Linked DNA regions of Drosophila melanogaster. The gene in region 2 interacts genetically with the main gene of each other region. Each region holds a gene or a part of one and is shown on either strand. Other genes may lie near its edges.

Region 1 (6,686 bases), on a different chromosome or scaffold from region 2:
GGTGCGCGAAACTTTCTGTCCCATCTTGGATGCTTGGACTGGTTGCGGTTATGGGTTATTACGGGTGACGTGCTACAGGTCGGTGTTAGTTGGCCAACATTATCGACCGGCGCGAGGAAGGAAACTGTCCAAACATCCAACTGGGCGGATTGAAAAATTAATATGACCTGACGTGATAGGGCTGCGAGTCGAATCGATAGATTATCGATAGCTTGTTATCAGAATTTCAACCGATAAGTTGATGTGAAGGCTTAACGAAATGCAACTTACCCACTGCGCTTTCGTTTTAAAAGTATATGCAGTGGAGTGGTGTTGAAAGTTTTAAAAAATTAGTTTAACTTTTGGAACTCATCTTGCTTAGAGAGCTGGTTTTAAAGCGAAAGCTTATGAAATTGGCTAAAAAGGTTTGGGTTAATATGAGGTTAACCCAAACCGTACGTAACAGATACATAAAAACTTTTCAAAAACAGCCATTTTCGTTCTACTGTTTTGAGATAAGGAATTTACTTCCGCTTTGTTAAACATAATCTACAATACCACCCAATTGTATATATCCACAGCTATATCAACTCATGCTATACACCCAATAGCGGCAACCATATATTTTTTGGCCATACCCCGAAAGATATATAGCTATATGTTAATACATTTATAGATCTGGGTGGATTCGCTGTGTGTTCGTGTTTAGCGTAAAATGTTGCTTCGGTTGTCAGCTGTTTTTTAGGAGTGGTATATTTAAACATAATGTGTACATATGTATTTTGTTTTGTTTTAATATATTTTTATCAATAGTTCTAGAAAAAGCTAAAACAAAGGTGCGGCAAAAAGGTGTTCTGATATTGTGGCTTTTGCGTTTAGTTCCTCGCTCTTCTTAGCAAGTGGTATCTTGTACCTGGTTTCAGATATTACTTTTTTTAGATAGATGCAAATGTTGTTTTAAGTTTTGTTTTTTTTTTTTTATATATTTGTATATATTTGTTGTTGCTGGTTGACAACGCAGTTTTAAAATTGATGATACACAGAGAACTAAATGGATACAGAGGGGTTCCGGCTAATCGGCAATTGGTGGTGGTGTTGCTGCCGCTTCCGCTGCTGCTGATGTTACTGCTGCTGCGCCGCTGCTGAAGATGTTGCTGCTCTGTCCTGGTTTAGTCCTTTTTTTGGGTGGTCGGTCGGCTGCCTTTTCGAATTAATATTTGAATAATAAATATTTAACTTGACTTGTTGATCTTTGAATAATTTATAGTTGCGCTCGGTTATCGATTTCGCAGTTCTTGTTTGCTGTTTTGCTCACTCACTTTTTGTTTAGAATTCTTTCTTAGTTGTTTTGCGGCTCAGCAGAAAAAATTTAAATCAAATCGGCAATATTAGCAGGCATTTCCTCAATTGTTGTGTGGTAGAACTGTTCAATATCCTTAAGGATTCGTCGATCATCATCTGTAATAAAGTTGATCGCAACACCCTTGCGACCGAAACGACCACCGCGACCAATTCTGAAATAGATTGAAAGTGATGGTATCATGTTTAGTATAGCACATAGCTGAGTAGATTCAGGGGCGAGGTGGTGAGCACTTACCTATGAATGTAGTTCTCGCGGTTCGAGGGCAGATCATAGTTGATGACCAACGACACCTGCTGCACATCAATACCGCGCGCCAGTAAATCAGTGGTAATCAGAACACGAGACGAGCCCGAACGGAATTGTTTCATGATGACCTCGCGATCACGCTGCTCCATGTCGCCGTGCATGGCCGAGACGGTGAAGTTGTGGATAGACATCTCCTGGGTCAGTTGGTCCACCTGAAGAATGGGTAGACATTTTTGTTAGCAACTTATCGGCTTTGCGATTGAAACTAATCCAGCTTCACACAATTATAAGAATGAGTGAATTTACCTTGCGACGGGTGTTGCAGAAGATTACCGACTGGGTGATGGACAGCGTATCGTACAGATCGCAAAGGGTGCCCAGTTTCCAGTTCTCCTGCTTCACGTTGACGTAAAACTGCTTGATACCCTCAAGGGTCAGTTCCTCCTTCTTAACCAGGATGCTGACGGGATCACGCATGAAGCAACGGCTCACTTCGAGCACATCCGGCGGCATGGTGGCGGACAGCAGGATGACCTGCACATCTGGGGGCAGCATCTTGAAGACATCCTGGATCTGATCCTTGAAACCGCGGGACAACATCTCATCGGCCTCATCCAGCACGAACAGCTTGATGTACTGGGTGCGCAGCACCTTGCGGTTGATCATGTCGTAGACGCGGCCAGGAGTGCCCACCACCACATGGCAACCGGATTCCAAGATGCGGGCGTCTTCGCGCACGTTAGTGCCGCCAATGCAGGCGTGCGAGTGCACCTTCATGTACTCGCCGAGCGCCATCACCACGCGCTGGATCTGCGTGGCCAACTCGCGAGTGGGGGCCAGGATCAGCGCCTGGCACTCGCGAATGCTCGTGTCGATTTGCTGAAGGATAGCAATCGAGAAGGTGGCAGTCTTGCCAGTTCCTACGGAGGAGATTAAAGGTAAAATGGTTAGTATGCAGAATAGTGTGTGCTACGGACTATACACAATTACTTTTCTAACTATGTGATATTCTTATGGAAATTCAGCAAAATTCCAATTTTCGACTAACCAGTACGCCATTTGTTATGCAATTCTGTTAGGCGTAAACTTGAATGACGGAAAGATCAATGGAATAAAGACAGTTGTCCATCGTTTCATCAGGTAGCTGATGTGCCATTTCAGGGTCGAGCTGGCCACTAATCCCTGCCTATACATCGATAGGCAGGTGCAAGTGCCAGAACACAAAACAGGAGTTGAGAATGAACTATATTAATATGTATATAGAGCCTCTTTTGCAGAGCCTGCAAAATGGATTAGTGCCGAATGAGCAATGTAGGTAGATCGCATTTGGAACAGATGACCTTAAAAACGCATAGCAGCTGGAATTCGCCAAGAGCGCTCGAAGAGCGACCTTCTTTCTGGGAACTTTCTTCTGGCCTGGCGGCCGAGAAACCGAAACGCAGCTGGTCAGCGAAAAGTGGCGCGCAAGCGCAACGACGCCGACAATCGAAGAGAGCGGACGGAAGAGAGAGAGTATAAGGAGAAGAAAGAGAGTGCTGCAAAGCGGAATTTCAACAAAGAAATACAGGCGCAGCGGCTGAGTCATCGTGCTGTTTTTTCGCCGATTTTGCACATTCTCGAAAGTTTTTCTTTGTGACTGATCGAGGGGGATGATGGTGAAGATGATGATGGGGGACTCGGAGCCATTTACTCACCCGACTGGGCCTGGGCAATGACATCGCGACCCCTCACACAGGGAATGATGGCGCGCTGCTGGATGGCCGACGGCTTCTCGAAACCATAACCGTAGATGCCGCGCAGCAACTCCTCGCGCAAGTTCATGTCATCGAAGTTGTCGTACACCTCGTGCCAGGTGGACTCGATGACGCCCTCGGGTTCCATGCTGGCGGGGCCATCCTGAGGTATCTCATTTCGGTCATCCCTGCAAGAAAGCGAGAATGCGTTAGTGGGGCGGAACAGTGGAAACAACAACAAAAGCAGTAGCGGGACGGGGGTAAAAAATTTTCCAGCCACAATTGTTGGTTATGGCGAATGGCAGAAAAGCGAAAAGTAAGTAAGGCTGGTGGAGGGAGAATCGAAAACCGCGAGCGCCGCTTGGCAACCACTCACATTATCAACAATAAAGAATTGACTAGGTAAACTTATATCCTGAATTTCGACGGCTTGGGCCCGGTTCACTCAATCAACTGTTTGCCTATTTGTCTAGAACGAATAACGGAGAATTCGGGCCGAACGCCGACTGTGTTGTTTTCTCGAGCTATCGAGCGCTTTGCTTTTAGTCCGTTACGTTTGTGCTGCGATGCGCTCTGCGAAGCGGTGACTTTACGTATGAGACCGAAAGCGATAGCTAGGCAGCCTTTTTGAGCGACAAGCGGCGAGAGTCCGCCCCTGAGCGTGTGCGAGCGGGACGACCCTAGTGTCGTTCGTGTCAATGTCAACGGGCGAGAGCAGCCGAGCGATATTAGCACGTAACAGTGGCGCCAGTGTTGCCTAACACCAGTTGCGAATGGTAGTAGTTGATCGAAAATAGCAGTAGTTTTGACAGTACGGCGGGGTGGGGATAGAAAAAAAAAACCGACTGACAGGCAAATATTCCAAAGCAAATCGAAAATTGAGTTGGAGCAAGGCTAAATCAGCCCACGAATGCCGTCGTCCACTAAAGATAGAATCAGCGGTCTGCGTCATTGTCCAGTCATGAGTCAAGCGAACGGACGGACGAGAGTGCATAAAATCCAGTCAAGTGGCGACACCGACGTCACCGGACTTCAACAAAAGTCCCCAGTTCGGAGTTCTAGGTTTCGCCAAGGCGAAGGGGGAGGGGTGCAAAGACCGAGTCCAGCAACAAAACTCTCTTGGAGCAACCACTGCGCTCGCTCTCTCTCGCTCGCATGGTGGCTGCCTCTCACTCCCACTCCCTGCACTGTCATACGGGCGTGTAATTTTTTTCCACTCATTTTGACCGTCAGAAATTTAAAATCGCGTTTTTTGCATTAAAACACGCGGAAATTATGCTAAGCAGTTGCGGAATCGATGCGGCACAAGATCGCCTTGCGGCTTTTTACATTTCAAACGCTTAATCTAGGGTATATACTAACATTTTCTGAAAATTATTTGGCACTTTTTATACACGTGCTGCTACTGATTTGTTAAAACCAAGCAAAAGAGGCTCCATCTTGCAAAAGTTTTAGTGATGTAAGAAAACATTAGCGACTATCGATAGATCGATCGCCAACTATCGCCAGATGTTAGCGGATATCCGGCAATTTCGCTGCGGCTTCGCAGTGTGTATGGTAAAGAAAAACAAAGCATAAAATAATGCAAATATTTTGAATTCAATTTGTATTATTTTGCACTTTTTTACGTTATTTTGGAGGTGCCACTTGAAGTTCAGGGCTGCAGACCCAGAGCTGGGGTGCCTGACTTCGCTATTTTATTTGCTATCGATATTACGCCCATCAAAGTTTTCCACCAGTATAAATATTTAAACCCGAATCTTATATTTGTTTAATAAATTTGATTGTAATATTGTTTTCCAACAGATTACATTCTCTTGTTGTAAAGACTTAATTGTAGTATTCAACCATTTGAACAACAACCTTATGTGAATCATATTATACAAATATATGAAAGTATGGAATTTTACATATGCTGCTATTCAGTGAACTGTTTTTAAATCGTGGGACTGGAACCGGCCAGCTATTTGTCTTAGTAGCTTAACGATCAGTGTTGTTTTGAATCTTTTTGAGTTTAAGTACAGTAATCTTATCTCATAGTACTCGAATGTGGAAGTGAATTTAAACTTTTCATGCCGCTGGTCTAACCGGGACTTACGAAGGCAAATAGCGAATACAATCGATTGCGAGGAATATCGTGATCGAATTTTGGCACACATCGATTGTTTCGAGCGAACAGCGACTTGTGTTCCAGTACTACCGCTTGTCGACGGTCACTCTGAATTTTTACCGCAGCGTGTGAACAGTGTGAGTGCCGTGGGTTTCCTGGAAATCCGTTTAGAAAGAGATTTCTCTAGACTTACTGAACGTGGGGTGGTTCGACAAAAATCGAAAACCGACCAACACTTTGGGTAAATTGCGTACAAAGCGACTTTCGTGCTGGGTGCACGCCTTAAATGGCGAAAACCCACACATGTACGCGCTACTTGGCCAACCGCGTTGGCTGTGCGTCGCCGTCTGCGGGTGTGTGTGTGTGTATGCCTGTGTGTATAAGTGTGCAAAAAATTAAGTGGGAAAAGTTCAGCAGCAGCCGGTCGGTATTCGGCATACGGCATTCGGTACTCGGTATTCCATTCGATTTGTCAAGCAGCCAATGCTAACATATTGCGGGTGCGGTGCAGCGCAGCACATTATGATATGTGAGATGGGATTCGAACATATAGGCGTTGAAATTAAAGGCTATTTTTAATTTATGACAGTTACTCAGTGCCGGCCAACAAAGTGACGATTCATAACACTCACTCGGAGAGCCGCCGTTGAGTCATCGTCTGCTCTCACTCGCTCATTTGCATTGTCCGCAGCCGGCTGATTAATAACGGCCCGCCTCGTACGACCGTCTCGCTCACACACCCACTCCAGGCGCACCGTTGCACTCGCCCTGGCTACGGCTCTCGCTCGCTCACTCTCTGCCCCACTCGAAAGCAGTGGCAGTGGGTGAGTGAACGGGTGACTCACGGCTTGGAATTGAGCGCTTTGGAGCAGAGGCAAGGCAAGCAGCCCCCTGCAGCGCGCACTCTTTCGCCACTCTCTCTCCATCTCTCACTCTCTCGAGTGGGTTTTCTCGAATTCAAAATCGGTTTATGGTTCTGCTTTGCGCTCATTCGACTTTTGAAATCCGCCTCGAACGCTTCGAAAATTCCCAGCGAGTCGGACGTGTGTGTGGAGCTGCGGCGTACGGTTTCTGTTTCTGTCTGTCTTGGTCTCCTTGGTCTTGCTCTTGCTCTTGGTCTCATCCCCCGTGCGTGTGTGTGTATATATGTGAGTTTTTCGGAGGCGGAAAATTAGGCGCTTTGTGCAATGCATCACAATCAAAATCACTAGATATATATACTTATATGTATATACATAAATGTGCATAACACAAT
Region 2 (5,094 bases):
TGTACATATAGAAGAGATAGAGAACGTTGATGGCGTGGTTTGGTGTCACTGTTCTTAGGAAACGCCTTCGTTTGTATATTTTACATGTCTCGCCTTAAAGACGGGATGTTAGTCAGCGAAAGTTTTACTTGTTTATTGTGCGCGTCGCGGCTGTGAAAAACATGGAACTAAAATAAATACACATGATGTCTGGCACGTAGCCGACAATGGCCCCTCAGAAACCCCTTCTTTCCAAGTTCAGTTAGGTTTCTTTTTCGGGCTATTCAAATCTAATAGTTTTTGCCTAAATATAGAACAAGCTCTTTGGCATGCCCATAAATTTAATGCTCACAATAATACAAAGTAATTGTAATGACAAGATCAGAAGTCAATATATACTATGTACAAATGACTGGGGTCGCTATTTTACGGATTTTTTTTTGTAAGTGCTAACAATTTTGCAAAAAGTTTCTAGGTTTTCATTTTTAAGATATACCCATAATAATATGTTCAGCTTTCGCGCCATTTTTTTGACCGCATCTGTATATAATAACGGTACTGCGTCTTGGAAATTGCAAATGTTTGTCAATGGGCGTGGGTGTGACAGGGATAGCGATAGGGACATGTATCGAAACTCCCCTATAGACGAAATTCAAGGTCACGCAACAACAACAACACCAAAGCTACTACATAATTTTGTTACCGTTAAAGCTTTGCAACCCCCACAAGCAATATAGCCGTCTCCTTCGCACTAACTCTAAATTGAAAGTTGCTTGTATTTCCATGCCTATGTAATTGCTTTTGGTGTACATAAGTGCCTACATACATACACATGTTTTACTTTTCCAGCTGCTTTTGTTTTCCCTATTTATTTGAAATGTTTTTATGCTGTTTTGCACTTTTAATTTAAATGCTATATAGCACAAACATAAATATGTATAAAATCAAATCAAACAAACCAACACGAATACATAATATGATTTATTTAAATTATGTACATTCGTTTGATAAACTTTTCTGATTAATTATCGCAATTTTCGGTTGTAAAATTGTCGATTTGGCACTCTTCTCATACAATTCTTTCATCCATGTACATATAGATGTCAGCATAATACAAATGAAAACAAAGATAACGTGCAAAAAAGAGCCGCATGTGTTGTTTTTTTTTTTGTGTTTTCATGTGTTGTTTTTGTTTTTTGAGTGCTTTTTATATTGCGCCGCTTGTGCTTTCTCCTCTTCTTTAAACGCGGATTCTTATGTATTTCCCCCTCTGTAATATGGATGTACATACATATACATATGCTGTTACCGGTCTTATGTTTGTTTTGCCCGGTATAACCTTGAAAATTTTGTGCGCCTCACGAATTTCTATGTTTTTATTGCCGTCTCCTTCCGGTCTCTTTCTCATCTGATTCTTCATCTCCTTCTTTCGCACTTGTTGTGCCCCCTTTTTCGGATAACAACAACAACAGAAATAACAAAATGAACGCTTTTCAGCATTTTTTTCGAATCTCTTTTCCACCTTCGCGCTTTTTATTGATGCGTGTCCGAAATTATTTTTTAACCCCGAAATCAGGAAAAGGTTGAGTTTGTAAGAAGTGGAGAGAGAGATAAAGAGGAGCGATGGAAAAGAGCATAAAAATAAAGTGACGCTGTCGAAATTGCGTCGCAAACATTTCGCAAAAAATAAAATACATAAGCAATGTCCAATAAAAAGAACAAGAAAAAGAAGCAGAGACGTTCTCACCATTGAATGCTGTTGTTTGTTTTTTTTAACAGAAGAGATCGAACTATTAGGCGCACATGAATTGCATAAATAGATATAAAAGAAATTAAAAACCAATTTGTGTCACCCACTCTTTTTGAAACTACAGAATAAATTTGATGGTTTTGTTATGCCTTTTATAAACTGAGAACTGTATTTGTTTGGCATCCAGTAACCAGAAAAATTGAAATTTTTTTGTATTTTGCCTGGAATTGTTTGCAAAATTCCCCGTCCAGAACCCTTCTAATAACACATCTCGGGTTTGGAGTCATATTATACTTTAGGTCATATTGCATTTGCATCTGATTTTGTTAAATACTTAAATAATCGTTAATTATGCAGAGTGAATTGTACCACCACTGTGAGCCAGCAATTCTGGTAGATAATATGGGAAAACAAAATCGGATGACATGGAAACATTGGACGGGGCGCCGAATGCAAATAAACCTCGAGACAACGAAAATAAAATCAAAAAGCCTAAGGAACAAGTTTGGCAGGCAGAAAAAAAAACAAACAAATTCACCCCCCATCCAATGTGGGCAGCTGTTTTTTTTTTCGGTTTCGGCTTTCCTCGTTTCAGTTTTTCTCGAATTTTCGGGTGCGTGCGTGTGTGCCGGTTGATTTTATCACGTAGACCAACGTTTTCCAATTGGAGCAAATAACGCGCATCAACAAATTCTTAAATTTCACCTATTTTTATTGAAATCATCTAATATGGCATAATTTTGTGACCGCGACTGTAATTTCGTTTTTGCTTTTATATTCGCATTCGCCGGCAGTTTTTTTCGCTTGCTTCTTTGAATTGGTCTTCGTCAAGATCGATGTTGTTGTTGCTGCTGCTGCTGTTTCTGCGTTTTTTTTTATTTTGCCACTTACCTAAGTGCTTTTTGTTTTGTCTCTCCGGCTGTTTCGCTCGCTCTCTCTACTTCTGTCTTTGATGCTGCTGCTGCAACAAGAACAAAAACTAACGACACGACTGCAACGACGTTGGCCCACTGCAGTTGACGTTGACGGCGGCTGCGCTGCTTTTATACGATGAGGAGCCTGTTTAATAGTTGTTGCTTTTCTTCGTGGGCTCCTTTATTTTTTCCCTGCCTCTCTTTCTCTTCTTATATGCGTGCGGGGGAGAGGGGTTGGCAAGGCAAATGGCAAAAAATGCACTCAAATATCTTGTGTCTCACAGAAAAAAAATACACAAGTGTGTGAGTGTTTACTAAAAGGCTCCTTCACACGCGCATACACACACTCGCACACCCACAACTATTCAGTTGCGTGTGCTGTTTTTTATGCCTTATTCACCTTCGCTTTTGTTGTTTTTGCCGCTTAACGATGTGAACTTTTGATTTCTTTTTCAGTAGGATTGGAACAAAAAGGATTGAAGAACCGCAGAATAAGGAACCAATAACGCACACTGTTGTTCACGCCGTGAAAACTCAACTCGACTGAACCAGAGAGCGACGAGACGTGGGTTTTTATACTTTTTCGGCGAGACCGTGCTGCCAGACTGTTCGATTCTGGTAAGGTGGTGGGTTATAAAAGCGCACTTGGCGAAGCTTCCCCTTAAAACGGGGAAGTTTATTAAAAAGTTTGCAAATATATGTAAATACAAATTCAATCCTATGTAGTAAGCCTGCCTATGAGGAAAACTAAGATAAACGAAACTTATTGAATTTTGATGGCTTCTGGGAATGGTCCAACAGAGTGGCATCTCAGAGAAGTAGTTTTTAAAAGAAAAAGGAAAGAAATGCATACAAGCAAACATATGCATATTTAGTAAAAACAATGAAACATTACTTTATTTACACACTCACTGGATGTATATATATACTCGCCCAATGATCTTACCTTTTTATCAAGATTTAAAAACATTCAATTCAGTAAAATCTTATTTTCCAGGAATTTTTGAACAGGGCGGGCAGCTACATAACCCAAATTGCAGCACATTTCCAATTGGCGGCAGAAAGCGATGCAAAAGAAAACGAAGTAAATATTGAACAGGAATTGCTGTACATTTCCAAGTGGCGGCAGAAAGCAAAAAAAAAAAACAAAATTGCCGCCAATTGTGGCTCTCTTATTTGTAATTTTAATTACCATATGAATATTTATGAAATTATATGTTGAAGATTCCTTGAATTAACTCTTATTAATTTTTAATTTGAATACATTTTTAAATAAACGCTGATCTATGCTAACATAAAACGCTCCTTTTTCGAAATGTATGAAATATGTTTATTTGTATGTATGTTGTATATGTATATGTATGTATTCATATGATGTATGTAAGTAAGTAAGTATGTTCATAGATTAAGGAAAAGTATTCAAATCCATTAATCGCTTGCGTTCCTTTTCGCGGAATGCCCGGCGAGAGGAGCGCGTAGCTCCGTGCAGACGACGAATGATAGGGTTCTTCTCACAGTGGATATTCGGATCATATGTCGAAACCGGCGGGTCGGCATCCCAGTCCTTGGCATCACTTTCCTTGGCATCACAGTCCTTGGCATCTTCTTTTGCGTCGCTGTGGCTCTCCTCGCGTAAGTAGCTCGGGCACTTGATGATATGTTCCTGCAAATGGGATAAACAATTGAATTTAATATTTGCTTACATACATATAATATATATTCATAACCTACATATATATCGGCAATAGGGTACATATGGGTTCTGTTATATGGACAGCGAGCTAATTCGTCCGATGGAAATTTCTTGGCACAAAGCGGCAAATGGTAGGGCATTTTAAACAGCATTACCAAATGCGAGCTAGAGTTGGGACAATTGACATATTCATAAAGTTTTGGATCCGCAGACATTTTTACAACTAGTTTTGTTCGCCTTCTGCGAACTTCCCCTTCGTCAACTTCAAAGTGAGCATAGAATTTCGCAACAACAATTCTATTCAAATCTCCTACAGCGTTTGGTATTTTTAATAGAAGCTTGCAGTATTTTTTTCAAAATGAGCAGAGAATTTCGCAACAACAATTCTATTCAAATCTCCTACAGCGTTTGGTATTTTTAATAGAAGCTTGCAGTATTTTTTTTTCTTAAAATAATAATATAAAAATACAAACGTTCGATTGTTTGCAGTGCTTGTGTAAATTATAAAAATGCATTCTGAAATATATTCATTTGTAAATAATTTATTATGTTATTTACTAAATGCGATAATTCCAACACTTGACAGCCCTAAGGAGCGCTGCCATACTGTGTTCTATATCGATAACCGATAGTCCGGCGATAGACGTTGTTTACCTCTTTTAACGCACGTGCGCCGATCAATTTGCTAAATTCTTTGATTTATTGGTGCGTTTAGAGCCTATAAAATGCCGCCCATTGCCCAGGAGGGCAATTGCCTG

The links.
Region 1: of Pdcd4 (region 2) and eIF4A, changing one suppresses a phenotype caused by changing the other (phenotypic suppression), as found in Drosophila melanogaster (one study listed by BioGRID).

The regions. Positions count from the first base shown.
Region 1 is NT_033779.5:5,979,833-5,986,518, reverse strand, and holds eIF4A (eukaryotic translation initiation factor 4A), read right to left. Parts: upstream 4,756-6,686; 5' UTR 4,686-4,755; coding exon 4,684-4,685; intron 4,157-4,683; exon of another isoform or gene 3,700-4,156; coding exon of another isoform or gene 3,698-3,699; intron 3,510-3,697; coding exon 3,283-3,509; intron 2,509-3,282; coding exon 1,895-2,508; intron 1,801-1,894; coding exon 1,577-1,800; intron 1,494-1,576; coding exon 1,349-1,493; 3' UTR 610-1,348; downstream 1-609. Other genes in the region: ifc (infertile crescent), read right to left, coding at 1-24. UniProt on the Drosophila melanogaster protein: ATP-dependent RNA helicase which is a subunit of the eIF4F complex involved in cap recognition and is required for mRNA binding to ribosome.
Region 2 is NC_004354.4:13,752,210-13,757,303, forward strand, and holds the start of Pdcd4 (programmed cell death 4), read right to left. Parts: upstream 3,198-5,094; 5' UTR 3,044-3,197; exon of another isoform or gene 2,621-3,043; intron 1-2,620. Other genes in the region: CG32625 (uncharacterized protein), read right to left, coding at 4,049-4,306, 4,375-4,551; Rtc1, read left to right, coding at 5,062-5,094.